Cricetulus griseus: one gene and its partners. The protein of the gene in region 6 purifies or fractionates together with the protein of the main gene of each other region. This does not show direct contact. Links are inferred from orthologs where the notes say so. Each region holds a gene or a part of one and is shown on either strand. Other genes may lie near its edges. The genes, in order: Rbm17, Snrpd2, Snrpa, Snrpd1, Phf5a, Sf3a3 and Snrpb2.

What was found.
Region 1: the proteins of Sf3a3 (region 6) and Rbm17 purify together in Homo sapiens (affinity purification with mass spectrometry; 4 studies listed by BioGRID and IntAct, counting the BioPlex papers as one, with this or other methods). This does not show direct contact. The link is inferred for Cricetulus griseus from reciprocal best matches to the Homo sapiens genes SF3A3 and RBM17.
Region 2: the proteins of Sf3a3 (region 6) and Snrpd2 fractionate together in Homo sapiens (co-fractionation; 3 studies listed by BioGRID and IntAct, with this or other methods). This does not show direct contact. The link is inferred for Cricetulus griseus from reciprocal best matches to the Homo sapiens genes SF3A3 and SNRPD2.
Region 3: the proteins of Sf3a3 (region 6) and Snrpa fractionate together in Homo sapiens (co-fractionation; 4 studies listed by BioGRID and IntAct, with this or other methods). This does not show direct contact. The link is inferred for Cricetulus griseus from reciprocal best matches to the Homo sapiens genes SF3A3 and SNRPA.
Region 4: the proteins of Sf3a3 (region 6) and Snrpd1 fractionate together in Homo sapiens (co-fractionation; 3 studies listed by BioGRID and IntAct, with this or other methods). This does not show direct contact. The link is inferred for Cricetulus griseus from reciprocal best matches to the Homo sapiens genes SF3A3 and SNRPD1.
Region 5: the proteins of Sf3a3 (region 6) and Phf5a purify together in Homo sapiens (affinity purification with mass spectrometry; 3 studies listed by BioGRID and IntAct, with this or other methods). This does not show direct contact. The link is inferred for Cricetulus griseus from reciprocal best matches to the Homo sapiens genes SF3A3 and PHF5A.
Region 7: the proteins of Sf3a3 (region 6) and Snrpb2 purify together in Homo sapiens (affinity purification with mass spectrometry; 6 studies listed by BioGRID and IntAct, with this or other methods). This does not show direct contact. The link is inferred for Cricetulus griseus from reciprocal best matches to the Homo sapiens genes SF3A3 and SNRPB2.

What each region holds. Positions count from the first base shown.
Region 1 is NC_048596.1:228,368,788-228,372,287, forward strand, and holds part of Rbm17 (splicing factor 45), read right to left. Parts: intron 2,261-3,500; coding exon 2,144-2,260; intron 635-2,143; coding exon 468-634; intron 1-467. UniProt on the Homo sapiens protein: Splice factor that binds to the single-stranded 3'AG at the exon/intron border and promotes its utilization in the second catalytic step. Involved in the regulation of alternative splicing and the utilization of cryptic splice sites.
Region 2 is NC_048602.1:28,213,612-28,217,658, reverse strand, and holds the start of Snrpd2 (small nuclear ribonucleoprotein Sm D2), read left to right. Parts: upstream 1-1,247; 5' UTR 1,248-1,401; coding exon 1,402-1,403; intron 1,404-3,510; coding exon 3,511-3,690; intron 3,691-4,047. Other genes in the region: Qpctl (glutaminyl-peptide cyclotransferase-like protein), read right to left, coding at 1-98, 469-678. UniProt on the Homo sapiens protein: Plays a role in pre-mRNA splicing as a core component of the spliceosomal U1, U2, U4 and U5 small nuclear ribonucleoproteins (snRNPs), the building blocks of the spliceosome.
Region 3 is NC_048602.1:8,724,525-8,728,792, reverse strand, and holds the start of Snrpa (U1 small nuclear ribonucleoprotein A), read right to left. Parts: upstream 2,801-4,268; 5' UTR 2,660-2,800; intron 2,198-2,659; 5' UTR 2,176-2,197; coding exon 2,103-2,175; intron 331-2,102; coding exon 158-330; intron 1-157. Other genes in the region: CUNH19orf54 (UPF0692 protein C19orf54 homolog), read left to right, coding at 3,755-4,047. UniProt on the Homo sapiens protein: Component of the spliceosomal U1 snRNP, which is essential for recognition of the pre-mRNA 5' splice-site and the subsequent assembly of the spliceosome. U1 snRNP is the first snRNP to interact with pre-mRNA.
Region 4 is NC_048595.1:225,869,094-225,873,257, forward strand, and holds the start of Snrpd1 (small nuclear ribonucleoprotein Sm D1), read right to left. Parts: upstream 2,801-4,164; 5' UTR 2,658-2,800; coding exon 2,644-2,657; intron 1-2,643. UniProt on the Homo sapiens protein: Plays a role in pre-mRNA splicing as a core component of the spliceosomal U1, U2, U4 and U5 small nuclear ribonucleoproteins (snRNPs), the building blocks of the spliceosome.
Region 5 is NC_048595.1:379,006,418-379,010,619, reverse strand, and holds the start of Phf5a (PHD finger-like domain-containing protein 5A), read left to right. Parts: upstream 1-1,402; 5' UTR 1,403-1,492; coding exon 1,493-1,544; intron 1,545-2,118; coding exon 2,119-2,142; intron 2,143-2,668; coding exon 2,669-2,835; intron 2,836-4,202. Other genes in the region: Aco2 (aconitate hydratase, mitochondrial), read right to left, coding at 723-758.
Region 6 is NC_048595.1:28,350,622-28,354,644, forward strand, and holds the start of Sf3a3 (splicing factor 3A subunit 3), read right to left. Parts: upstream 2,801-4,023; 5' UTR 2,714-2,800; coding exon 2,618-2,713; intron 2,372-2,617; coding exon 2,324-2,371; intron 1,997-2,323; coding exon 1,944-1,996; intron 1,836-1,943; coding exon 1,730-1,835; intron 905-1,729; coding exon 832-904; intron 1-831. UniProt on the Homo sapiens protein: Component of the 17S U2 SnRNP complex of the spliceosome, a large ribonucleoprotein complex that removes introns from transcribed pre-mRNAs.
Region 7 is NC_048599.1:35,869,397-35,872,896, forward strand, and holds part of Snrpb2 (U2 small nuclear ribonucleoprotein B''), read right to left. Parts: intron 1,992-3,500; coding exon 1,941-1,991; intron 590-1,940; coding exon 501-589; intron 82-500; coding exon 1-81. UniProt on the Homo sapiens protein: Involved in pre-mRNA splicing as component of the spliceosome. Associated with sn-RNP U2, where it contributes to the binding of stem loop IV of U2 snRNA.

The DNA of each region.
Region 1 (3,500 bases), on a different chromosome or scaffold from region 6:
GGTTTTTTAGAGCCCATAAATAAATAAACTTTCTCAAGTTTATTTGGGGACAATGGGACAGAACAATTACAAATTCTTAAAAACAAGTAAACTCGGGGATGGAGAGATGGCTCAGATGTTAAGAGCACTGACTGCTCTTCCAGAGGTCCTGAGTTCAATTCCCAGCAACCATATGGTGGCTCACAACCATCCGTTATGAGATCTGGTGCCTTCTTCTGGTGTGCAGATATACATGGAAGCAGAATGTTGTATACATAATAAATAAATAAAATCTTAAAAAAAAATAGGGAGGTGTGAAGTAAGTAACCTTTACTTGTAGGCTAAATACATTAAAAAAAAAAAAAACCAAACAAGTAAACTCCTGAAGATTGAAACCATAAACCCACCCCTAGAGACAACACAGAAATTCATTCACATTCTAATGTACATTAACAAGATATCTGTTCCCAAATCAAGACGACACTTACTTTTCTCTTTCTTCTATTTCCTTCTGTCTTTCCAGCTCCCGCTGCCTCTGTCGCTCCTCTCTCTGGCGCTTCACTACTTTCTCATAATCATTAGGAAACATAGGATCATATTCATCAGCTAAGGGGATCAGAACTTCCCCTGCAGAAAACCCACTGGGAACAGGGTCCTGAGGAAGAAAAATATTCAAGTGAGTACCATCTTCATATTCTGCAGGGTTATCATAGAATCAAGGTCAAAGGATGATGAAAGAGACCTTCGTGATCATCTAAGGATCTTATATTTCCTAGATGAGTAAACAATTCATAGCAAACTACATCTCACCAGGTGGCAGCATATTGTGGCAATCAAGCAAAAGCTTAATTATTCCTAGAAAAGCACTGTAGAACTTAAAACTGAAACAATTCATGAACTTAATCATTGTTTAAGTGAGTTTTAAACTACCACAGTCATCATTCGAATGACACCTGCAGGAAAATACATGTAAAAGTGGATTATCATTTTCCAGACAGTGTCTCACAGAGCCACAAACTAGGCACAGAGCCAAAGGTGAGCCTGGACAACTCCCAATCCCCCTGCCTCTCTGGAGCCCTGTCCTGTTAAAGACATGCAGCACCATGTTCAAGTTTTTGTTTTGTTTTGTTTTTCAAGACAGGCTTTCTTTGTGTAGCCTTGGCTATCCTGAAACTCGCTCTGTAGACCAGGCTTGATTGCTATGACTGCACTGCCTGCTCTTTCAGAGAACCTAAGTTTGATTCCCATCACCCACATGGTTTTCACAACTGTCTGTAATTCCAGTCCTAGGGAATGTGCCCCCACAGGCAACAGGTACACATGTAGTGCAGGCAAAAACCTCATACATATACAAGTATTTCTAAATAACCACATTGTTCTGTATTTTTGGCAAAGATGGACACTCACTGATATATTAAGAAAAGGAAATTAGAGAACAAAAGGTAGAACTCATCCAAGAAAGATATTCTAAAATTATGTAACTTTTTTTTTTTTTTTTTTTTTTTTTTTCGAGACAGGGTTTCTCTGTGTAGCTTTGGAGCCTATCCCGGCACTTGCTCTGGAGACCAGGCTGGCCTCGAACTCACAGAGATCTGCCCGCCTCTGCCTCCCGAGTGCTGGGATTAAAGGTGCTGGAATTAAAGGCATGTGTCACCAACACCCGGCTTAAAATTATGTAACTTTTAAAGCCTGGAGAGTATGATTAAGAAGATACCTGCTTTTCTTTTTTGCCCATCTTTCACACCTGTTGTTTTCAAAATCAACTATTTTAAGGAATAAAGGTTTTGATGGTAGCAAAGTAAAACCTGAGCTGGAAATGAAACTCTCTTTCAACGGCCTATTGGGGAGACTCTTGTGTGGGGCTGGAGATGGCTCAGTGGTTAGGAGTGCTTATTCTCTATCAGAGGACCAGAATTTGGTTCTCAGCACCCACACCAGAGTGTTTACTGGGCCTAACTCCAGCCCCAAGAGATCTAATGTCCCCTTCTGGCCTCCAAGGGTACACACACACACACACACACACACAGAGATACACAGACACTGACACACACATACCACACACACAGATAAAAAAAAAAAGTCAATCTTAAAAAATAGAGGAAAATATGTGTAAAGCAAACAGGAAATGCATTAAAGCCACAGATATGTGCATGTGCAGGCTTACCTTCAGCCCAGCTGCTACATGAGGTGGTGTGTCTACAATCTGCCGGTCATCTGAGGAGCCTCCTCGCTTTAGGTCGATGACTGGGGCAAGGACTGTACTTTGTTTTGTCCGCTGACTCTGACATCAGAAACAAGAAAAACATACCAATGTTCCAAATTAAAATTCATGCTACTTGCAACACAGACACTTTTTCTACTCTCTATAACCAGCCTCTGCCTGTGATAAAACCATCATTTTAAACAGTAACAGTCTTTAGTATAGTGTCCTTAAGTGCTTTCTGAGGAAGGGTCCTAAGTAACCCAGGCTGGCCTCCAGTGCCCCACATAGCTGGTGATGAACTTGGACTCCTGATCCACCTCCCTCCACATTGCTGAGTGCTGGTATATATCACCAGACCCAGTTTATACAGTGCTGGGGATTTAACACAGGACTTACTGAAAACTGGGCAAACATGCTACCAAGTGAGTTATATCTCCATTCTTTTTGGTCATTTTAAAAGCAGATTTCCTCCACTTTTCTATAAAGTTTACAGTAAATGTGACCACCTTCTGAATAGCCTTAAACTTGCAGGGATCCACCTCTCTGCCTTCCAAGGCAAGCTTCTACTCTACTTCTTTTAGTATAACCTTACTCAACCAATTAAAATTACTTATATACTTACTTGGGTGTGTATGCATGTGTGTTTACATGCAAATACCACAGTGACTATATGGAGGTCAGAGGGACTGGAGGGACAAGTCTGTCCTTGTACCATAGGGTTCTACTTAAACTCTGGTCATCAGGCTGGACTCACTGAGCCATCTCACCATCCTCAAAGTGCATGTTAAACAGCTAGTCTTTGTTTTGTTTTTTTTAAACAAAGTTTAAAATGTACTTTTGATCCGTGTCTCAATCTTTAGCAGCCCCTCTTACCTATCACCATTACCATCTTTGTTTTTCCCCTGGGATATCGTTCTTATGAATGCTTATTCTAGATCCTCTAGCTAACTTACAATAACACAGCTAACTCTGTGTCTGGCATTTCTAGAAGCTGGTTAGACTCAGGGTAAAGCTTGTAGGCAAGAATGTCTCACAGTGAGCTGGTGAACTACATCAAGTTCTCAGGTTGCTAAGATGCCATGGTTGGTCAAATGGAATGATGGTGATCACGAAAAGTTGTGGTACAAACTTTCATTCTTATTAGGGAGTCTAAGCTTTAACAGTGCTTTAAGCAAACAACATGTCATACAAATGCAAAATCACAACATAAACCCCAAAGTTTGCATAACAGGGGTTATGATAATCATTTATTTGCTTATTTTAAATTTAACAGGTATTTCCAAAAATGAAATACAAATGAAACCATAGCTTCATCTTT
Region 2 (4,047 bases), on a different chromosome or scaffold from region 6:
AGCAGGGGACGCAGGAAAGTGCCCCAGAGACGCTGCGGATCCAGCTGCCCTACCACCGTCCGTAGCTTGGCTTCCGGAAGGCTTCCAATCAGCGGGACCTTGGTGGGGAAGAGAAGAATGAAGACAAAACCCCCCATCCCCACCCTCTCCTGGGCGCCGCTGCCCCCTGGGAGCCCTGACTCTTCTTGGTGGTGCAGCAAAGACTTGGAGTTCACATGCATACACCCTAGAGCGGGAGGGCGTCTTCAAGGCAGATCTGGCCCCTGCTACTATTAGAGCCCTGACGGGAACCTTGCAAACAGATGTCTTGGGGCGCGGAGCTCAGATCTGCCCGCGTTGCTAGGCTGACCGCCTGCATCTCCAGGACGGCGAGGCAGGGGCGTGCGCTTGCTTGAGTGATGGAGAAAGAGATGTCACCCGCTCGGCACGGGAAACGGAGGAGGGACCGGGGCCCCAGGCAGGCCTCACCCGCAGATCCCGGCTGCGTGACAGCTCCTGAACCTCGGGGTGCCAGCCGTTCCAGACCATGAAGAGCGCCAAGCCCAGGGCGAGCGCCAAGAGCAGCAGGGGCAGGAGCTGCACTCGCGGCAGCAGGCGGCGCTTGGAAAGCGAGGGCGGCTGCATCGCGCCGCGATCCCCGAGCCGCTGCCGGGGCCGCCCGCGGCTCCCGGGACTCATGGCAGCAGCGGGGCCCCGAAGCCGGTCGTCCCAGACTGAGGTTTGAGTCCAGGCCAGGCTCCGCCCCTCCCCCCTATCGCTTACGCAAGCCAATAGGGAAGCAGAGCGGCGGCGGCATCGTCGCGCAGACGGCCGCGATTGGCTCCTTCTTCTCCAGAAGGCGGTGCGCAGACCCGAGGGCCCGCCCCCCACGCAAGAGGCGCAGCCAATGAGTGGCGGCTGACCGTGCGGAAGCCGCGCCCGCCGCCCTCAGGTGTCCATCAAGGAGAAACGGGCGGCGCCCATCCCTGAAGCAAGGAGGCGATTGGCTCGCTCGAGGCCACGCCCCCCCAGGAGGAGGCGGGCGCCGCGCGCTTGGAAACGGAGCTGTGTGTCGTGTCCCCGCCTCCTCCCCGCCCCCGTTCTTCTTCCACCCAGACGGGGAGTTAATTCGAGCCAGGCCCGGCGGCTCCCCCTTTTTGTTTAGTCGCGAGCGGGGGGGTCCCCCTATTGTGATCCTCACTGACATGGAATCCTCCCTCCAGGCATTTCCTACGGCAGAGAGCCGCCGCCGGGTCGCTATGGCAACGTGACACGCCCACGCCGCTGGGGCGGGTTGCGCAGGCGCCGACGGAAGTGATCCCAGAGGAGGGAGGCGGAAGTCCCGCCTTCCGCTCGCTCTACTCCGGAGGCTACACGGCAACGCGGCGGAGGCGGGAGTGAGCTGCGATCGAAACCTCCACCATGTGAGGCCGGGCTGGGCTCCCGCGGGGACGCGAAGGTGGAGGGAGGGACGCGGGCGGCTTAGCAGGTGGACTGTCGGCTTGGGGTGCTCGTAGCGGGGGCAGAGGTTCCTCCTGAGGTGTTAGGGGACGGGCGTGGGGCCTGGAAGGACGGGTCTGGAGTTCCGGAGCCGGACAGCTTCTTCTTTCTTTTCTTTCTTTCTTTCTTTCTTTTTCTTTTTTTTTAAAGTTTATTTATTTATTCATCATGTAGACAGTGCGAGCCAGAAGAGGGCACCAGGTCCCATTATAGATGGTTGTGAGCCACCCTGTGGGTGCTGGGAATTGAACTCAGGACCCCTGGAAAAGCAGTCAGTGCTCTAACCTCTGAGCCATCTCTCCAGCCCCCCTCATTTTTATTTTTTAAAGATTTATTTATTTACTTACCATGTATACAGTGCGTGCCAGAAGAAGGCACCAGATCTGGCACCAGATCTCATTACGGATGGTTGTGAGCCACCATGTGGTTGCTGGCATTTGAACTCAGGACCTCTGGAAGAGCAGTCAGTGCTCTTAACCCCTAAGCCACCTCTCCAGCCCCCCTCATTTTTATTTTTAAAAGATTTACTTATTTATTTACTTACCATGTATACAGTGTGTGCCAGAAGAAAGCACCAGATCCCATTACAGATGGTTGTAAATCACCATGTGGTTATATTTATTTATTAACCATGTATACACTGCGTGCCAGAAGAGAGCACCAGGTCTCATTATAGATGGTTGTGAGCCACCATGTGGTTGCTGGGAATTGAACTCAGGACCTCTGGAAGAGCAGCCAGTGCTCTTAACCCCTGAGCCATCTCTCCAGCCCCGACAGCATAACGGGCGTGGGACCCTGCTCTGTACTGAGTCTTGTGAAAAGAGCTGTAAGAGGAAAGCTGAGCCTGGTGGCACATGCCCAAGAGAGGCTGAGTGAGGCAGGAGGATGGTGAATTCGCGCCCAGCCTTGGGCTGCACATGGAGACCGTTTCCAAAAGTAATAGTAATTTTAAATGGGAGCCGTAAATGGATAAAGGTCTCGGCAGGGGAAGGGAGTTCTATTAAAAAATAGTGAAAGGCTCTCCAAAAAAAACAAACAAGCAAAAATCATAATGAGGGACTTAACCAGGATAAGGTAGAAAACAGACAGGGGGGCTTTTTCAATCTGCCTGGAGACTCTCAGAGTAGCAAGCTACTGCCATGGTTTGATGTGTTTATTCACCAAGCAGGTGTTACACAGACTGGTTGTTAAGTTAGACACACGGTGTATAAAAGGTCCGTGCCACCGAGAGAAAGTTTTTCTCACTGGGGCTGGTAAAAGGAATGGGGTAGGAAGACCAGAGAACGTGTTAGATGATGGAGAGTGCGGATGAAGAAATTTGAGTAGCTACCACAAAAAAAAAAAAAAAAAAAAAAAGACTGAAAATGCAACACTGGGCTGGAGTTATAGCTCAGTGGGCAGAGTACATGGCTACCTTGGGTTCTGGGTATAGTGGCAGCATGCCTGTAATCCCAGAGGTCTGGAGGCAGAGATGGATAGTCTGAGTCTCAGGTCAGCCAGGGTTACACAGTAAGACATTGTTGTGGGGATGGCGGGCACCAGGAGAAAGGTAACGGAAGATTAGGCCATGGATAGAAATAGCCAGGTTCTGGATATGTCGTAGAGGCAGATGACAAGATGTGAGGGTAGATTTCCTTTAAGAGAGTGCCGGGCTTGATGTTGAACTCCTGTAATCCCAGAACTTGGGAGGTGGAGTCAGGAGAATTGAGAATTGAAGGTCGTCCTTAGTTATATAGCAAGTTCAAGGCTAACCTGGGCTATAGGAGATCCTGTCACCAAAACAGAAATCAATTAAACAGTAGAGTTCTAGCTTAGAGAACCCGCTGAATAGAGTTGCCATCAGTGAAGACGTGGGGAATGCGTGGGTGGGAGAGGTTTTGGTGGTTAGACAGCTGGAACGGGCTAAATAGACAATGTCTCTCCCACCTCTGAAAAGGACATTTGGGGACCAGGTTGAGGAGACACTGGACAGTGCCTTTGATCACTCACACTTCCAAGCTCACCCATCTCACCCGTGGTTTTTCTATTCAGGAGTCTCCTCAATAAACCCAAGAGTGAGATGACCCCAGAAGAGCTGCAGAAGCGGGAAGAGGAGGAATTCAACACTGGTCCCCTCTCGGTGCTCACACAGTCGGTCAAGAACAACACACAAGTGCTCATTAACTGTCGAAACAACAAAAAGCTCCTGGGACGGGTGAAGGCCTTTGATAGGTGAGCACTGAGTCTGAGGGGCCTGAAGGAAAGGTTATTCCAGAAGCATAATGATAGTAAGTTGGTGACAAACTCCTGTAATCTCAGCACTCAGAGGGATCACCATGATCATGTTAGAGGCCAGCCTCCAAAATAAAAAATCAGAAAGTGTGGGGTGCTCTTTTTGTTGTTTTTTTGTTTTATTTTGTTTTCCAAGACAGGGTTTCTCTGGCTTTGGAGGCTGTCCTGGAACTAGGTCTTGTAGACCAGGCTGGTCTCGAACTCACAGAGATCCACCTGCCTCTGCCTCCTGAGGGCTAAGATTAAAGGTGTGAGCCACCAACGCCCGGCTAAAATTTGTCTTATCTGTCTATCCCA
Region 3 (4,268 bases), on a different chromosome or scaffold from region 6:
GCCATCATGCTCAGTGTCTTGATCATTTTGTGTCCCCACAGCCCCAGATTAAGGAACACTGAAAGTAAAGGACCAAGCAAGAAAAGTAGCATCCTCACGGAACACTACAGGCCACACCCACCCAGCTTCCTACAGCCTCCATAGTCAAGATGCTCACCATGGGCTTGTCGTAGAAGGGGAAACCCTGCATGGAACGCAGGGCATTCGTGGCGCTGCTGACCTCCTTGAAGATGACAAAGGCCTGGCCCCTCATCTTCAGGCTCCGAGACACCAGGATATCCAGGATCTGGCCAAACTGGGAGAAGATGGCATACAGGGACTTCTTGAGCTCTGCATTCAGGGAAAACAAGACACACTGTAACAAAAGGCCTGGGCACTGTGTCCTGGGACCTGCACTAACTATCCTTGGATGATGAACAGTTCAAACAAGGGGCCACTGCCAAGTGACAAATTACCCAGAATGCTACAGCACTACAACCCACATTCATACACACACACACACACACACACAATAAATACATAAAAATACTTGCTTCTGTTTACTATTTGTATGTGTGCTAGAATTCAGCCTTTGTAGAAAAGTAAACATTCTACTCCAGGACCTTACTTCCAGGCAAGAACGGAATTATTTGGTGTGGGGTTTTGTTTAAAATTGTACAACCTTGGGACTGGAGAGATGGCTCAGAGGTTAAGAGCACCGACCGCTCTTCCAGAGGTCCTGAGTTCAATTCCCAGCAACCACATGGTGGCTCACAACCATCCGTTATGAGATCTGGTGCCCTCTTCTGGTGTGCAGACATACACAGAAGCAGAATGTTGTATACACAATAAACAAATAAAAATTGTACAACCTTTAAATATATAGTTGTTTTGAGACAAGGTTTTTGGTTTTTTTTTTTATTTTAATTAGGAAGAAAATTACATGTCAATCCCAGGTCCCTTTCTCCCCCCCCCCCTCCTCCCCTGACACCCTCCACGCCCCCCCCCATCCGGAACTAACTCTGTAGACCAGGCCAACCTCAAACTCAGAGATCTGCCTGCCTCTGCCTCCCAAGTGGTGGGATTAAAGGCGTGAGCCAGCCCAAAATATTTTTATTTTATGTGCGTGGGTTATTTTGCCTGCAGATGCTAGAAGAGGATGTCATATGCCCTGGAACTGGAGTTACACATTATAAACCTCCCTTGAGTGCTAGGAATCAAACTCAGGTCTTCTGGAAGAGCAGGCAGTACTCTTAACCACTGAGCCATCTCACCAGGCCAAGTAGGTTTCTTAGTTGCTGAGGTTCAGAACCCAGAGCCTTACCCATGCTAGGCAAGACTACTTGTATTCCTCAGACCTTTTGGAGTCAGGGTCTTGCTATGTACCCTGGGCTGGTCTGAAGTCAAGATTCTCCTGTCTCAGTCTCCTGAGTACTGGGATTACAGGCCTACACCACCACACCCAAAGAAACTGTCTTTGGTATCTTTTTCACTCATTGTGATCATGCAGCCATCTGGGAGTTACTCTGGGAGTCCCTTTCCCTAAGTAACAGAATTACAGCCATCTGCCATTCAAGCAGTTCAAGAATTTGCTTAACAGAACCGCACACTTGTGTCCCAACCATTTTTTTCTTGGTATTTGATCACGGGCAAGTACTACCACCCAAATTCCAATTTCTTAATCTTGAGAGGCTTGTTGAGAATTAAATATCTCCAAGACTACAGAACATTGTTACATAGCATTCATTACCCGTCACTTCTATACGTTCTTTGCATCGTAACTCATCACCAAGACCAACGCCCAGAGGCCAGTGGCCAAGAGACAGTCTCATGATAGCAGACTGCGCTGGGCTTGAGGGAGAGAAAGATCCCAAAGGGCTTCCCAGAAAGGAAGGGCCGGTGAGCTAAAACCTTGAAGATTATCGACAGTGTGCAGGTTAAAGAGCAGAGTGTAAAGTGGTTAAGGGTGTATTGAGAACCAAGGGCTCAGTAGGTACAAAAGGCCAAAGTTAACTCTTAAAGGACTCAATGGCAAGGCTGAGAAAGGAAAGTGGGCGCTAGAGGTGGAAGGGGTCAGCTCATGCGAGATCACCTAGAGTTCCGGGCTATCCCGGAGGACTTACCATCCTTCTTGATCTTCTCATTGAGGTTGTTGATATAAATAGTGTGGTTGGGACGGGTCTCAGGAACTGCCATGGTGTCAGATGCTCAGAAACGGCTTAAAGGGAGAAAAAGAGGCGACTTCAGCTCTCTAACGCTTTCCAAAACTCTCTGTTCAGGGGGCTGACGGGCTCTGCTCAGGGATCCTTCCAGGAGGAAGTTGGGTGAGACCGGAATTGGGGAAGAATGGCACAGCTTGGCAACAAAGCCCGCGTAGGACTCCGCTTCTCCAGCCCGCGTGCTGGGGGGGGGGAGGACTACGAATCCCAGAATGCTCTGCGAGCCTGTACCCAGCGGCGATCCCCATTGGTCCACGCGCTCGAACGGCGTCCAAGGAGGAAAAAAAAAAAAAAAAAAGGAACCCGGATGTGGGAGCCAGTTAAGACAGCAGGGACCGATTTGGGACACCTTCGTCTCTCCAAGAGGGGCCTCCGGAAGCGACGCGGCCGAAGGCCCGACGCCAAGTGCTCCGCCCGCCTCCCCAGCGCCCGCGGGCGTCTCCACCGCGGGAATTCACCACCTGGACCGCCGCGCCTGCCACGCCACTCCGCTCGGACACACAGCTTCCCGTCCCCGGCCGCGAGACGCTGACGGCGCGCGAACTCGGCAGGCGGCGACCGCCCCGAGTGAGAGCCTCTTCCCCGGCCTCAGCGCCCGCCCGCGAAAGGGACACGCGGCTTCCCGCCTCAGCACTAGTCCCCGCCCCCTCCCCAGGTGAGCAGACCAATCAAAGGAGGCGACGAGCTCTGGGCCAATCGGGACCTCGCTAGCGCGCCAGCGCAGGCTGCCCTCTCCGAAGCCACGCCTCTTCCCCTTCCGCCAGTACCGGGGGGGGGGGGGGTCACGTGGCCGCCGGGCCGCGTCGGGAGAGCCTGGCCGGGTCAAGGCCGCTCGTTTCCCTCCGCGGGGAGCGTGTACAAGTTCCTAAGTTCCCGCTCCTTAGGCGACCCTTGACCGCTGTGCCTGCTGTCAACTCTGACCGCTGCCCACCGCTAGGCTGCTTTCCCAGCCGCGTGCCCTTTTAACCTCATGACCTCTAAGCTCCTAAGATCGACCCTAAGGTTGCAGACTCGAGCCGGAGATGTGAGATGAGGCGGGTTACCCCACGCCTTACCCCCGATCTGAGCGCCCTGAGATGTGAGATGAGGCGGGTTACCCCACGCCTTACCCCCGATCTCAGCCCCCTGATTACAGAGATGTGAGATGAGGCCGGTTACCCCACGCCTTACTCCCCCCCCCCCCGATCTGAGCCCCCTGATTACGGAAATGAAGAAAACTAGCTAGCTCTAGTCCCTCCCAATGTCGCTCCATCCCCATGGCACAGCCCGCACCTTGGGGGAGCCTTCTTCTTCGTCATTTGATTCAGCCCAGTTTCTGTTCCCACGGTTTGAAATACCCACCCAGGTTCTCCCAGACCAACTGGTCAGGCACCGTATTCTGCAATTCAACTCTAATTTTTTTTTTAAACTCTTTGTAATTTTTAATACAGGTTTCTATGTGCGGGCCACATGTGAATACCACATCCAGTTGCTCTAAAAACTGAAGTCTCCATCCTTGAGAGATTTGAGAGGATCCCCCTTCTCACCCTCACATCAGCTCTTCCTGAAGACCCGACATGACGTCTTTCCCCTTAAAGCCCACAGTCCCCCCAGTAATCCCCGAACCCCAAGACGCCAGCATTCCACCTCCTTTACCCCCAAGTACCCTGGACTTAGCTTCGCCATCCCCTTCTGTCCCGCCGCCGCCGCCGCCTCCACCCCCACCCCCACCCTTGGCTGTGGAGGTTGTTTCCCCTCATGTCTACGGCCTGGAGAAGAGCCGGCTCCTGAAGGAGGCCTTGGAGAAGGCTGGCCCAGTCCCCAAAGGCAGAGAAGACGTAAAGAGGCTCCTGATGCTGCACAAGGACCGGTAGGGTTTGCAAACCCCCAGCACCCCAGGACTCATCCAACCACCTGTCTCCAAATCACCCCGCCTACCCCATCTCCCAGGGTTCCCATTTCCTTGATCTCAAGCAGCCAGGTGCCTTAAGCCTCCTACCTAGCTCTTCCCTGCTTGGCCTCTAGCAATAGAGAGAGCAGCTCCTGCTCATTCTTGGTTCTAAGCCAGTGATAGTGCCTCTGCCCTTCCAG
Region 4 (4,164 bases), about 200 Mb from region 6:
GTTCTGACTTCCTAGTCTGTAATTCACAATACCACAATTACATGCAGTGAAATAATTCTACAGCATCACCCATGCTTTATTTTAGCCAAATGGCCATGGAAAGATAATCCTACAATAGCATCTAACAACACTTCATATTCAGATTTTCTAGTCTATCTTTCTACAATATCCTTTGTAAACTACTACAGCAAACTGCACAAGTAATATTATCTGTTCCATTCTCACCACTATTCTACTATGAAGGAAAGCAGCAGGCCCTTTCTATAGGTGACACTGGACTACAACAAACACTCAGGGGATGGAGAGGTGGCTCAGAGGTTAAGAGCACTGGTTGCTTTTCCAGAGGTTCTGAGTTCAATTTCCAGCAACCACATGGTGGCTCACAATCATCTATAATGGGATCTGGTGCCTTCTTCTGACCTGCGGTTGGGAGTACACCGTGCACATAATAATAATAATAATAATAATAATAATAATAATAATAATAATAATAATAATAATAATAAAAAACCACCAGACAGGTCCAGCGTTTCAGCAACTTTTAAAGGAACCCACCTTAAAAAATTATGTTGCCGGGGGCTGGAGAGATGGCTCAGCAGTTAAGAGCACTGACTGTTCTTCCAGAGGTTCTGAGTTCAATTCCCAGCAACCACATGGTGGCTCACAACCACCTTGAATGAGATCTGGTGCCTCTGCTGGCATTCGGGCAGAAGACTGTATACATAATAAATAAATAAAAATCTTTAAAAAAAATTATATTGCCAAGTATGGGGGTGAAGATCTTTAATCCAGCACTCAGGAAGCAGAAATTCTTTCAGAAACAAGGGAGTGGGTGAGGAGATAACAGTCTGCTAAAAAAAATTCCCTTAAGACATGTAGGCACCGATCTGTAATCTCAGTTATTCAGTAGGCTGCAGTAGGATGATCCCAAATCTGAAGTCAGCCTGGGATATGGAGTGACTTCTAGACAACCTGGTGACATCCTGTCTCAATTTTTCAGTGAATCCTTCATTTTGTGAATTCTCTTACTTATTATTACCATTGCTGTTGTTGTTTGAGAAGTTTCTCTGTGTAGCCCTGGCTGGGTTCATATCAGTAACAGAGTGAGCACTTGCCTAGGACGCTAGCTGGAAGTCGAGGTAACACCCCAGGTACCACCACCCAAAAGCAAAGCTGTCGTAACAGAATCTTTAAATGGGAAAAACCTAAGTTACTGCAAACACATGATAGTTCACATCAGGCAGCAGGGAAACAGCAAGAGTATACTTTAAATTGTGAGACTTTCTACCTAATGTTACAGTCCAAATACAAAAGAACTGGAGCTATAGTCAAAGGTAGAGCGATTATTGGAAGCTCTCTAGGCGCTATCCCCAGAACAGGTGGAATTTTTTTTTTAACCTTATATGCTTTCTCTTCCAACTCCCCCTGAACAGAGTGTTTGTCATTTCAAACAGACCAGATGTTACCTGTTCTGCCTTCAGCATTAAACAGAAAAGAAAGAAATCTTGTAGCCCGACGGTGATGGGTCATGCCTTTAATCCCAACACTCCGGAGACAGAGGCAGTGTTATGATAAATGTTCGTGGGGGACCTTTGTGGATTCCATGGCAGGCAAGGATGACCCAGTCGAAAGGACATCATGCCAGGCAGTAGGACTTAAGTGAGAAGATTATTAGAAAAAAAGGGGGGTTAGAGACACAGAGACAGAGAGAGGACAGGAAAGACAAGAAAAGTCCTGTCTGCCCCAGGGGAACAGCAGGAAAGAGAGAGAGGGAAAAAAAAAAGCGGGTAAGAGAGCATAAGTGGACAGAGACCTTTCTTTTAAAGGGATGCTTTGCATCTGGGCTGACCAGGGTACTACTGTGTGAGTGCAGGGGCAGGCCAGCATAATGACTGAATCCTTTTCAGGCAGGCCTCTGAGTTCGAGGCCAGCATGGCGAGGTGCAGGACAGCCAGGGCTGTTACACAGAGAAACCTTGTCTCGAAAAACCACAAAGAAAAATCTCGTACCACTACTTTTAACAGGTGACTATAAGCAGTCCTTGACTCAACAAGAAACTAAATATTTCTAACTGGCTTAGGCATTAAACCCTGTTTCGGGCTCTGCCTAATGCCTATTTGGTTTGGAAGTATTCATACCAGCAAACAAAGCTCCACTAACCGACACAATCTGCAATCAGGCGAAATTAACTTAACTTCTGCCCCATCCTGGGACACTGTCGTGAGTCGAAAGCCAACATTAACCAGTTACATACAACCGATCCAAAATAAAGGAGAACTTTATCTAAAACGTCTAGCAGATCGGCGTCGTTGTTTGCAGATAAAACCATGCTGCTTTGGAGTTCTCGTCCGTGCAAGCAGCCCGACTGGCCAGGGAAAGCGGCCTCGGCTCCGTTCAAGCCGCAGGAAACGAGGCGAGCAGAAACCGCTCGGCTCCCCCATTCTTGGAAGACGCGCAGGGCCGGGGCGCGCCGGCTCCTCGCCGGCAGCAACGAGAAGGGCGCGGCGGGCCCGGACGCGGGGGCCGTTAGCAGGCCGCGCGCACGCGGCTTTCCCGCCTCCCTGAGGGCGCAGAGGCCCGGCTTCCTGAGCCCGCCCAAACCCTGTCCCCGCCGCCTTCGGCCCGCCCGGAGAGCCTCCTCACCTCACGAGCTTCATCCTAGCGGCGCAGCCTCCCTCTGGTCCTACTGGACACGGAATTCGAGCTCCAAAGACTCACCGACTAGGCGTATGAATGGCCGGAAGAGCGCACGGAGGCCTGCGGATCCGCGGTGGAAACGCGGAAGCCGCGCTGCCTTCCGGCCACCGGGACAACCACAGCGGCCCCTAGCGACGGGAGGAGTGCTTTGCGCCGTCTGAGCGCGGCGTGGCTGGTGGAAGACATCTGCAGGAGGATTCACCTTAAAACTATTTATAATGGCCTGGCGCTTTCACAGTTGGAAGGAAGAGAAGATCTGAGAGAACCCCTCCAAGACTTCTTTAATCCTTGGGGCCCACATGTTGGAAGCAGAGAACCGGCCCGACAAGTTTCTCCTAGTTGGTTTGACAACTAAGCTGAGCCAATCAGATTTTTGTATATAATAGTTTTCCTTTGGGGACTTGTAATAACCCCAGAGCTACTGAGAACCTTTTTAAAAACAGGAAAGCCATTCTCAGGACAGTTTTAAATAAGACCTTCATTATATAGTAAGTTCTTCGACTTAAAAAGTTATGTGGATATTTCAAATGAAGTTAAATAAAACAATTCAACTCCTTATTTGCAATAACCACATCGTAACTACTCAAAATCTATATGTATCATTGATTACAGTGCAGATAATTTCCACTATCCCAAGAAGATTGGATAATATTAGTTTATTATATTTGATTCTTACATGGAGCATGAATTCTAATTGTTCTTAATAAAGCCTCAGACTCGGCTGACAGGGGGTAAAAACTGAAGGGTCAGAGAAGCAGAACAGCCAGCCACTAGAGTTCTTACCTCTACCAATGTTCAGACCAAAGGGGCCATCCTGTCCTCAGACTGACTGCCTCCTCAGACTCCTGTCTCCTCCGGCTTCTCTCTGCCCAGCCACACCACTCCTGTCTCTACCTCCCTAGTGCTGGGATTAAAGTATTGGGATTAAATGTGTGAGCCACCACCATCTGGCTCTTTTTTCTCTTTTAAACTGGATCAATCTTATGTATCCCGGGGTATCCCAGATCTCACAGAGCTATGCTTGCCTCTGCCTCCTGAGTGCTGGGATTAAAGATGTGTGCCATCACTGCCTGGCATCTGTGGCTAACTAGTGTGGCCAGCTCTGCACTCTGATCTGCAGGCAAGCTTTGTTAGATCACAAACAAAATATCACCACACTTACAATTATTTATTTACTTATACTGAACTCAGGAGAACATAGTGTCTGAAAGCAAAAAAAAAAAAAATCTGTTTATTGCACTCTCCAACATCCGGTATCTCCAGTCTTATGCTTTAATATGATGTGCTCCTCCTCCCCCTCCCCCCTCTTCCTCCTCCTCCTCCTCTTCTTCTTCTTCCTCTTCTTCTTCTTCTCCTTCACAAAATAGTCCAGTCCCGATGTGTGGGAACTGGTCCCAAGGCCTATGAAACCAAAGAGGGAGGCAGGCAAGCCCAGAATTGCAGTGTGCAGTTTATGGGTGACTTACA
Region 5 (4,202 bases), about 350 Mb from region 6:
CAAGCTATAGCACTATCGTGACACCGTGAAAGTCAGAACTTTCATCTACTTTTTTGCAGTTTTACTATCTATTGAGTTGGAAAAAAATCATCTGACATCTATGTTGCCAGAAATATGTAAATCAGGTTATATTAGTGAACAGTCTTGACATCTGGTGCAGAGAGGAACCACTGTTATCATGACTATGGACTATACTGGTGCTCAGAATACTCTACCCTTCTTGCATCTATGACCCCAGGTGTCCTCAAAAGGTAGTATTGGGTATAGCTTCTGCAGACTCCAGGCCCGAGAACCACACATACAAACGGCTGGCAAATCTCTGCTGTTAATGGGAAGTGAGGGCTTCAAGCACCTGGCTTAGAGGAACCCACAACCACCGCGCCCCCCAGTAACCTTGTCATCACCTTGAGAACAGAAAACCACACTGGGGGGAGCGGGCAATTCGGCCCTCAGGAAATGAGGGGTGCCCTCATCCTTTATCACACTGCGGATGCTTAGACTCAAGCTTCCCGCTGGGCGGGGACGGGGACTGGGCCTGGGAACTGACTGTGCCAGGGACACCTTGACCTAGGACAAGGCAGGAGCGGACAAGGACGCTGGGCCTGCAACCGGGACAGGTTCGCAAAAGTCAGCCCCAGGTTGAGCCCGCCTCGCGTGGCCTCGCCTACCGCCGCAGGCAGAGCTCCCCGCCCCCGTGAACCCACACATCGGAGCTCGCTCACCTGCAGCCGGGTCACCAGGAGGCTGTAAGGCGCCATTTTGTGCACTGACAAAGATGAGGTCGCGTGAAAGTGACGTGCCACAGGGCGCTTTTGAAGTGCTTGGGAAGGGGCGTGGCCTCCAAAGCGGCGCGTCACGGTGAGGGTGGGGCCTTCCTCCTCGGAGCCGGAGTCCAGAGAGCGCAGTGGGCGGGGCTTCCATGACGGGCACAGCGCGAGAAAGAAACTGCCAGCTTGTCAGTCTTTGCACTTGGGGACGGAGACGGCAGCGGAGCCAGGAGTTCAAGGTCATCCTTCACGCCTTGAGACTCAAAAGGGAACCCCCAGACCACATATTTTGCGGAAGCATGCGTGAGGCCCTGGCCTCAGCCCCGAGCACAAAAAGTACCATGTGTACAAAAGTTTTTTGCGAGACAGGTCTGGCTGGCCTCGAACTCAGAGATCCGCCTCCCGAGTGCTGGGACTAAAGGCGTGTGCTACCACCAACCAGCCATATGTAGGAATTTTATCCAAGACAAAAACACTTAGTTTATTCGTTCAAATCGGGAGGGAACAAAAACTTTATTATAAAGTCTTTGATGCACCTGCTAGGGGTCCAGCAAGTTCACGCTGAGAAAACTCGCGAGAACTAGCGAGATTTGGTGCAACGAAGGGCAAAAGCTGATGGGCACCTTGACGGCCAATCACGATGGAGAAGTGGGTGTAGGAACGGCGTAGGTTAAAGGTCGAGCGGAAGTTCTCTAAGCTTCCGGCCGCCGGCTTGGGGACGAGTGATGGCTAAACACCATCCAGATTTGATTTTCTGCCGCAAGCAGGCTGGTGTTGGTGAGTTGGCTCGCCGCTCCCTTCCGTTGGAGTGGGATGGTGTTAGAAACGGGAGAGTGGGGGGTTCGCTTCCTCTTTAGGGCCTGGCCTTGGGGGCTCCACGTTTCGCGCCTTGCGGTCCCTGGGTATTCTGGGGGTGCGCCCAGGTTTGTGACTTGTGATAAGAAGGCAGGATCGCGCGTCTGGGAGCCTGAAACTGGGGGCAGCGTCTGCGCTAGGTCTGGAGAAGCCGTCCCAGGTTGCTTTGAGGATTCCGGACAGGGCGCTGGTGCAAAGCAAAACTTAGGGGCTTAGGCCGGGCGTGGTAGTTCACGACTGTAATCCCAGCGCCTGGGAGGCTGAAGGCAGAAGATTGCTGGGGGTTCGAGGCCGACCTGAACTACATAAGAAGTTCCAGGCTATAAAACGGGAATCTGTTGGGAGGAGGGGCGTGGAGAGGGGAAAAAAAAGGATAATAAGACAGCTATTCTGCTCACTGTAGTCATTGCTACCTGCCCCATCCTCTATCCCAGCTTTGAGGAACAACTTCCTTGCTAAATCACCATTTTGATTTTAACTGTGTTTTTTCTTGCAGCTATCGGAAGACTGTGTGAAAAATGTGAGTGGAACATACCCTCTCACACATTGCCTTCTTTCTTTGTTTTTTGACGAGCCAACAAGCCATTTATTCCAGAGGAGCCCTAAAGAAGCATTGAGTGGATATGCCAGACTGCAAAGAACACTGAATCTCTGACTACAACCAAAGGCTCCCCACCAGACTCCCACTTTAGCTTGCATACTTTAATATTTCATACTTAGGTTGTGGGGGAAAAATACTTTTGGACAGTAAGAACTATCAGAGTAGTGTGAACCTTCCCAGGCCAATGTTTGTGCAAGAAGGCATGCAATTTGTTGATGATAACTACATAGACTTAAAAGCTCCTAGCTAACACGTCAAAACTCTTCCCATTTATATTTTGAAGGAAACTGAGGTAGATGGTAGATATAAGATAGGGTGGATGCTGTCAAGATAGAGAAAAGGCCTGAAGTCACAGTCAAAGGGAGACTGGTTATTTCACCCATAGAATAAAGATCTTTAGGAAGTAATCACTAGTGAATATAACTCCATTCCTCTTCCTTTGCAGGTGATGGCAAATGTGTGATTTGTGACTCCTATGTGCGACCCTGCACCCTGGTTCGCATATGTGATGAGTGTAACTATGGATCTTACCAGGGCCGGTGTGTGATCTGTGGAGGCCCCGGAGTCTCCGATGCCTACTATTGTAAAGAATGCACCATTCAGGAGAAGGATGTGAGTGTAGACTTGAGCATTCCCTCCTGGCCTTTCTTCCTTTTTCTTTGGACCATTTTGCCATCCATGTCCATCTCTTCTGGTCTATGGAGACTGCAATGTTCAGCTAGTCATGTAGGTAGAGGTTATTATCATCCTCCTTTTATACTCTGTCCCAGGCTATCTGACTAAATCTGGTGTCCACATTACATCATGTTATGCTTCTCTAAGACCTTCTTGGTGTGTGCTCATGATGAAGAGAGCACCCAGCCTCCTCAGCACTCCACATGTGGATGCTACCTACCACCAGTACCCGAAGCCAGATAGGGCTTTAAGGAGGGAGGGGGGTTGTTCTACGTGGTGCGGAAGGTGATCTATGATAGCTGCATTTTCAGTTTTGATTGACTTTATCATCAAATCTCAAATCGGGTCTTACCACATCCAGCAGATATTGATTGGGGAAGCCACATTTAGGCATTAGCTAGAGTTCCCAACTGAGAGCTTTTTCTCCATGGATGAGCTCCAGGCTTTTCTTACTGCCTGCATGCAGTTTATGCCACAGGACATACAAATGATTCCTGTTGGGTATATCCTCACTGTTCTCAGTGCTGCAGAGTTTGGTTGTGTTTGGTTTGGTTGAATTTCTTTGTTACATCTATTTGTGTGGGTGCATGTGGTATTAAGAGGACAGCTTGCCTGGAGTTGGTCCCACACACACACACACACACTAGTGAGTATTTTGGCCCACTAATACTTTTATGTGCTTACTGTTTTTCCCTGTCCTTCTTAGAGAACCAGATTGGTGCTTGGCCCAGAATGGAGTTTTAGAGCAGCTGAAAAGTATTGTTTACTCTGTTGAATCCACTATTGTTTGGGAAAAGGGGAATGTTGTTGATTAAGTATGAAATCATAATTTCAGTTGGTGGTTTGAACATTCTCCTGCCCTAAATGCTCTTTCCAATTCTTTAGACAACCAGAACTCGATTGTATTCTGTCTTCCACAGCTGTGGATTATGTCCTCCATCTTTCCTTTTTCTCGGGTCTTGGTAATAGTGCCTAATCTGTAATACAAGGATGGTGCTCTCTTTTTGGTACTGTGCCTATAAAGTGTTCCTGGGAGACACTCCCCACCCTGGGCATTTGTTATTTAGGAACTGGGAAGTACTGGGTGTAATGGAAAGAGGAGGGACACACAGTTCTCAAGCTAAAGGGTCCCTGAAGAGACAACACTTTCTTGAGCTTTCAGAAATGTCTAGAGTCTGTTTCTGACTTAAGCTTGGAACCAGAGGATGCTTGCTAAACAGTAATTGCCATCTCACTTGTCTGCATGCGCCCTGTGATCTGATACCTTTGGATCCCTGCCCCTCATTCTGCTCCCTGAGAATTAT
Region 6 (4,023 bases):
CAATATTCTACCAACTGAGCTAATTTTTGTACACAGATCTAATCTCCACATTACCCCGTACATTGCTTTAAAATTAGCACTCAGAAGGCTGAGGCAGGTGGATCATGAGTTCAAGGCCAGCTGCACATGGGAGCAAGAGCAGCCTGATCTACATAGTGAGTTCCAGAACAGCTATAGCTATGTAGAGAGACCCTGTCTCAACAACAAACACCCCCCCACACACAAAAAAAAACCCACCACTACCCACCACCACCAAAAAAAAAAAAAAAAAATCACAAAACCAGACAAACATAAATGCCAGTCGGTCAGTCGGTGGTGGGTACTCCTTTAGTCTCAGCATTGGGGAGGGCAGAGGCAGGAAGATGTCTGAGTTCTAGGCCAGCCTGGTCTACAGAGTAAGTTCCAGAACAGCCAGGGCTACAAGGAGAAACCCTGTCTTGAAAAACAAAGAAACAAAGAAAGAAAGGGCTGGACAGATGGCTCAATAGTTAAGGAAGAAAAACAACAAGAAAAACAAAAACAAAACAAAGACACCTGTCCATAACTTTTTGATTTAAATGATATCAGATATATTAGACCTGGACCCAGGTCTGATTCCCAGCCCCCAAATGGTACTCAAAATCCAGTCCTAGAGGATACGACTTCCTCTCCTGGCCTCCTCAGGCATAGCACACACACTGTCTATAGGTATCATGCAGGCAAAACACCCATACAGACAAAATAAAAATAAAGGCTTAAAAAAAAAAAAAGATAGAGAGAGAAGATAGGTTCTAGCTATATAGCCCAGGATGGCTTCAAATTTCTCAGAAAGAAACATTAAATCATACTTACTTTGTGCCTCTTCACTTGGATTTTCTCGAGCCTTCAGGAGCTCCTCAAATTCCACTGACATTGGCACACAGATCTGGGGGAAGGAGAAAGCGCAGGTGGATCAGTGTCTCATGCATGCATAGAACTGGACTTCTGATACCTGATTTGCCCTGTGGTGTTCAGGAGCTTACTACTGTTCTCCTCTTGCTTTGCTTAGTATAACTGGAAGGCAGTCATTACCACAAAATCTGGGCTCTTAAGGAAGGATTGCATTGGAAGAGATAGTCTAGGAAAGTTTTTTTTTTTTTTTTTTTTGGAGACAGGTTTTCTCTGTGTAGCTTTGGAGCCTGTCCTGGAACTCACTCTGCAAACCAGGCTGGCCTCGAACTCACAGAGATCCACCTGCCTCTGCCTCCTGATCCCTGAGATTAAAGGCTTGCACCACCACCGCCTAGCAGAAAAGATATATGATAAAGGAGTTGGTGCTGGACATGAATCCTGAAGGTGTTCATTAACTCTGGAGTGAGCAGAGTGATGTTGTGTTGGTAGAAGATTTCAAGGCAGAATTAGGAGCACAGTGTATTGGGTGGGGGAGAATTCTTATGAAAGATAAAAAGGAGAAAGTAAGTTTGGATAAGGAGTCTAGACTATGATGCAGACAAAATCTGAATGAAGCCAATAAAGAACTCTGGAGCAAAAATTAATCATTTCTCATCAGAAAGAAAAAAGTAGGCCCTCGTGCCTTCACTGTGTTCCTTTACTGGCTGAGAGATGTCAGGAACGATGTCAGCTAACTATGCTCACTGCAGTTAAGTGGCAAGCCCTTTCTTGGAGTGACATCTGAATGGCATACCCCCATTTTCCTTGCACCTTTTCTTATTTTAGGGTAGGTTTGGGGAAATACTTCAGGAGACCATACCTCATTTGGGTGTTTCCGATGAAATTCCTTTATCTGCTTGAGTCTGTTATAGAATTCAGCAAACTCATTGGGTCCTGAAATAGCATTGAGTTCCTCTTTTCGAAGTCTGCAAAATAATGACAAACCCGAAGAGTATAAAGCACAAAGCCAATCCTCTCACCATGCCGCCTCAGAAGCTCTACCTGCTGAGGGGATGTATGTGACTGTCACTTACCCATCTTTATCATCATACAAATCCCTCAAGTTCCCACTGACCTCCATGTATCTCTGAAAGGCAAACACAAATCCATCAGAATGAAGCAATTTGTACAACGACAGGGCTAAATAAACAACGAAGGCTTTCTTGGCCAAGCCCAAGGAAACCTCATGAGATACGAGCTCTTGAAAGTTCCTCTAGACAGCCTGAGTGGGGAGTGGTGGCACACACCGTTAATGCCAGCATGTGGAGGCAGAGACAGGACTTACGTCTAAGAACCTGAGACGGGGTATTCTCAGCACCTACAAGCAGTCCTCACGCTGAGCCTCCGCACCTTCCCTGCCAGCACTTTCCCCGCCCAGCCCAACCTAAAAGGAAGCGGACAGCGGGGCACTCACATCTTGCATGGCCCGCGTGCGGTGATCAGAATTGATCTGGTCCCGGAGCTGGAGAAAGGCAAACAGATGCTGTTAGTTTGAGTTCGGGGGTTGGAAAGGCCACCCGAAGGACGAGTTTATTGGTTTAGGTCTCAGGAGCTGAAGCAGAGGGACTGCTGGGGCCTCGGAGGATGTTACCGAGGCCAGAGCGCAGAGGCAGCCCAGGAGGAAGGCGAAGATGGGGCGCGGGGAGGGTCTAAGGCCGAAGAAAGCGCTCAGGGGCTCCGGATGCGTTCCCGACCACGGTCCACTCACCGTGGACTTCTTAGTGAGCATCTCTTTGGCCATGACATCCATGAGCCGTTCTTTCTCCTCATGATAGCGCCGTTGCTGCTCCAAAATTGTTTCCATTTTCCCTTCGCCGCGGCGCTTCAATTCAGACGACCAACACGGCCGGAAGCAGCGCCTGCCGCCTTGTGCGCCTCCGTCTCTCTCTCAACGCGCTGCATCCGGCTGCACCAAAGTTCCGTGAGTTCCGGAAGTGCCTTGGGGGACCTCAAAAAATGAACACCACACGGAGAGCAAGTCCTTGCTGTCGGTACCACTGCCCCCCGCTGGCTGGAGGTGTGGAGGAGCGATGCTCAGCGACTGAATGCCTGCAAAAATGCTGTAGGCGGAGGGTGAGAGGCAACTGCTGCCTGGGGCTCTCTGTGGCCAGCTGGGCCGGCAAGACTCACTGATGTGGACCGGGATTGAGAAGTTGAAGGATACAAGAAGGGAAAGAGGAACTGGAATCTCTAGTTTCAGGGTGTGACCGCTGGTGTTTTCTCCTTGTCTGGACTTTAGTATCTGTCAGTAAAGTGAGGAGGTGGTTTTGTTCTTAACTCCTATGTGGAAATAACCTTTATCAGCAGAGGGCTCTTTAAGTAAAATGTGGTATATTCAAGCAATGAAATGCTTGCTATTCAGTACAGGGTTACCTCTGATTCTCCGTATCCTTAATTCTTCTGCCTCTGCCTACCATGTGCTGGCTGTACGGCTTAGAAAATGAGATCTAGGCTGCCTTTCTTTAAAGGAGGAGGAAGAGGAAGAAGCAAAAAAGATTAACAGCGCTCCAGAGGCAGAGGCAGACAGATCTCTGTGAGTTCTAAGCCAGCCTGGTCTACATAGTGAGTTACAGAACAGCCAGGGCTACATGGAGAGACTGGGACTCAGGAAACAAACACACAGATTAGGACTTGAGATCTGAATCAGTATAAAGAGCTTGTCCAGCATGCACTGAGAACAGAGTTGGAGCCAAGTAGAGTGGCTCACACCTGTAATTCTAATATTTGGGAGACTGAGGCAGGAAGGGAGCAAGTTCAAGCTCAGCCTGCCCTTTGTAGTAAGAGAGCATCTCAAAACAATAAACAAACACCAGGTGGTGGTGGTAAAAGCCCTTAATTCTGCCACTAGGGAGGCAGAGGCAAGTGGATCTCTGAGTTGGAGACCAGTCTGGACTACAGAGCAAGTTCCAGGACAGCCAGAGCTACACAGAGAAACCCTGTCTTGAAAAACCAGGAACAAAACAAAACAAAAAAAACAACAGAAACAGTGTTCACATGAAATGTTTGGATCAGCAAATCCATGGAGACAAAGGGAAGATGAGAGAAGGGTTGGTTGGGATAAGAAGTGACTTAAAAAGAGCAGAAGGAATGAATCCTTTTGAGGGTGGCAATATT
Region 7 (3,500 bases), on a different chromosome or scaffold from region 6:
GCCTGCCCATCATTTTCAAATTCTACAAATGCAATGTCATGCCTCCCAGGTACCAAGCGAACTTCCTTGAAACCAGGGAACCTAGAAAAAACAAAAGCAATAAACACAGGCAAATGTAGAATAAATTTGTTGAACAACTTGCTATTGGTCTAGGAAAACTAATTACATTCAATCAAGAATCCCAAGTAGGATGGAGGCACCTGACATAAAATTGTACCATCAAGGAAATGCAAGAGTCCACACTAATTCCACAACTGTCAGTATGTCAAAGGTTTCCTGTTTTACCCATTTATTAGAATAACTCCAACAGAGAAAATCTATCCTTTTATTCGTTAAGCTTAGAGCTTAACTTAGGCTCCAATCCATGATTAGTACCAGACTAAATCAATGACCCTACAGAGAACTACTGCTGTGGGGTGACAAATGAACTCAGTCCATAGAAGCACTATTTGTCCTGTTAGAAGGCTACTACAAACAGATCTGTTTAGTAAAGAACTTACTGATTGAACAGCATGGATAACATCATCTCATTCGTCTCTTCTGGTAAATTATTAAGGAATAGGATGTAGTTTGGAGGATAATCAGGGACCTATTAGAAACAAAAGGCAAAATTAGCTTGTGAATATAAACTGTGCTGTGAAGTATTTAGCTGTGAGAAAAAATGAAAACTTCTTCAGAGAACTACATTGCAGCCTATATGCGCCTGTGAAATCTTAACACACTAAAACAAAAGCTAAAAACAATGACGCCAGAGATACAGATTAAAAACCTAACAATAGGGAAGCCAACATTCAAGTTAGGATACCCCAAGTATGGAAGGTTATGATTCTGTGAAAACAGTATTTATAGGTGAAGCACCAGTGCTAACTGGGGAATTCTGTGACCTGGAATACAGAATTCAAAGTCTAAAAACTGGAAAAGGCAGCAACATAGACCTCCTCAGCTCATCATTCTAAACTGAAACATTACTATTGACAATCACACCCTGCTGGCATCTACTCTGTGTGTTCCTGTGCATGCATGTACACAGTAAATGGCATGTACTTTGTCTACTAATATAAAACAAACATAACTGAGCAGAATATTAGACATTAAGTCACATGCTTGGCACCCCATCCTGAGTCTACAGGGAGTGTATAAAAGACTTACATATAAGAAGAAACTCTGTCTACTTGCTAATTACATGGACAGAAAAGATCAAGTGTAAAAAATAATTATTGAACAGCTCAAGATAGAGAATTAAGTGCTGGTATTTGTAAATTGACTACAAGTTCTGAAAGAGTTCAAGGAATAGAAAGAAAGATCATAAAAGATCAAGTATGGTGACAACTATCTGTAATCCCAGCACTCAGGAGGCTGAGACAAGAGGATTGAGAGGTTTGAGAGCAGAATCAAGACTGTCTCAGAGGGGCTAAGGGGTATTGGACAGCTCAGTGGTATAGCATTTGCCTAGCATAGGCTAGGCCCAGGAGTCAGTCACCAACACCAAAGGAGAGGAAAAAATCAAACGCACACAACTGTAATACTGAGAAGTTGTGGACACGTCAGACTGTATAATTTAGACTCTACTGAAAGCAGAAAACTTAAACACCATTGCCCACTATGAATCTGAGAAAGACAGGGCAGTGTCAGACACCTGGGGTGGAAACAGCCCCTCCCAAGGTCCTCTGACCACATGTCTGTGAAGTGCTGACAAGTGCCCGACCCAAACCAAAAGCCCTTTCTCAGGCCTTACACCCCCTGCCTTTTTGATCTTGTCCCCAATTCATGGAAAACAGAAATCAGGCCTGGTTTTGTTTTCTTCATCTTAGAGTAAGTTTCTTAAAGTGACAGGCAATTATGTCTTGTGAATGGATTTACTTGCTTTTGCAGACATGAACACTAATACTGCCATAATTTTTATGATCTTAAGGTAAGCACCCCATGAAGAAAAACATTACCTGAGGATTTGGTGCTGCGTTTCCTTGAGTATTAGCCGAATTTGGTGTTCCCTACAAAAAAGAAATTGGCATTAAGAAATGACTGAATTTCAGTCATGGTAAAAAGCAACTGCAATTTATAACATAAATCAACATTAAATTCACTGTAAAAGATACCTTATTCCATTTTACCTTAAGATGTCTTAAATTATTTACTTAGCTTGTAAATTGAAATGTATGTCTCTCAACTCTATAGACCACATCATAAACCTTAACATTTGAATTTTTATTTATTTATTTTGAGACAGGATTTTACTATGTAGTTCAGGTATCCTGGAATTCACTATTTAGACCAGGCTACCTGCCTCTGCCTCCCCAGTGCTGGGACTAAAGGTGTGTACCACCACACCTGGCTTTAACATTAAACTTTAAATGATGGAGAGACCAAGTGTGCTGTGTGGCTGAGGCAGGAGGGTCACAAGGGTGAACAGACTCCTCTAGGTTACAAGAGCTGAGATAGAGAAATAGAGATAAAGACAGAGAGAGTCTTACTTAAAAAAAAAAAAAAAAAAAAACCATAAGCATTATACAATCAAAATCACAGAATCAAAATGATTTAAATAATTAACTCAGAGGTAACTACTTTTTTGAATAATTTCACTTCTACTGGATTTCAATTTTTGCCTCTTGAATTGTTCAGAGGCTCTGAGTAAGATACTCATGATGAAGAGACTGCATATGATTTATAGGAAGAATTTAAGAAAAATACCAATAAGTAGGGTTTTAGATAAAGATGTCAAAAACAATATGTAAATCAGATTAGTACTGTTTATTGCAAATCTCTAAGTGTAAAGGCTGGTATTATAAATTGTTCCTTAAATATAAACCTAGAATTTTAGAATTTTGTTATCCCAGCTTCTTAAAACTTCATTCATCACTCCTCCATCTCTACAACTGGATTCCAGGAGTTCGGCTCAGTCAAGACCATGCTGGGAAAACCCACAGGAACAGTTGACCTTAGCTAGTGGGAATTCATGAACCTCAGTTTGACAGCTAGGGAACCAATATAGGACCAAACCAGGCCCCCTGAATGTGGGTGTCAGGTAGGAGGACTAGGCAGTCTATGGGGCCCCTGACAGTGGAACCAGGATGTATCCCTAGTGCACAAATGGACTTTGGGAGCCCATTCTCCATGGGGGGAAAGTCTCTTAGCCTAGACGCACAGGGGAGGGCCTAGGCCCTACCCCAAATGACTTGACAGATTTTTGATGGTCCCTCATGAAAGGCTTCACCCTCCCTGAGGAGTGGATGGGGGATGGGATGGGGGGGTCAATGGGGGGAATGGGAAGATGGGAGGCAGAGCAAACTTGGACTGATATGTAAAATAAGATTGTTCTAATTTAAATAAAATTTATACATATATGCATATGTATGTATGTATTTATGTATGTATGTATATATACACATATATAAAACTTCACCTTTAGCAGGGTGGTGGTGGTGGTGAAAGCATTTAATCCCAGCACTGGAGAGGCAGAAATCTCTGTGAGTTTGAGGTCAGTCTGGGCTACAGAGCCAGTT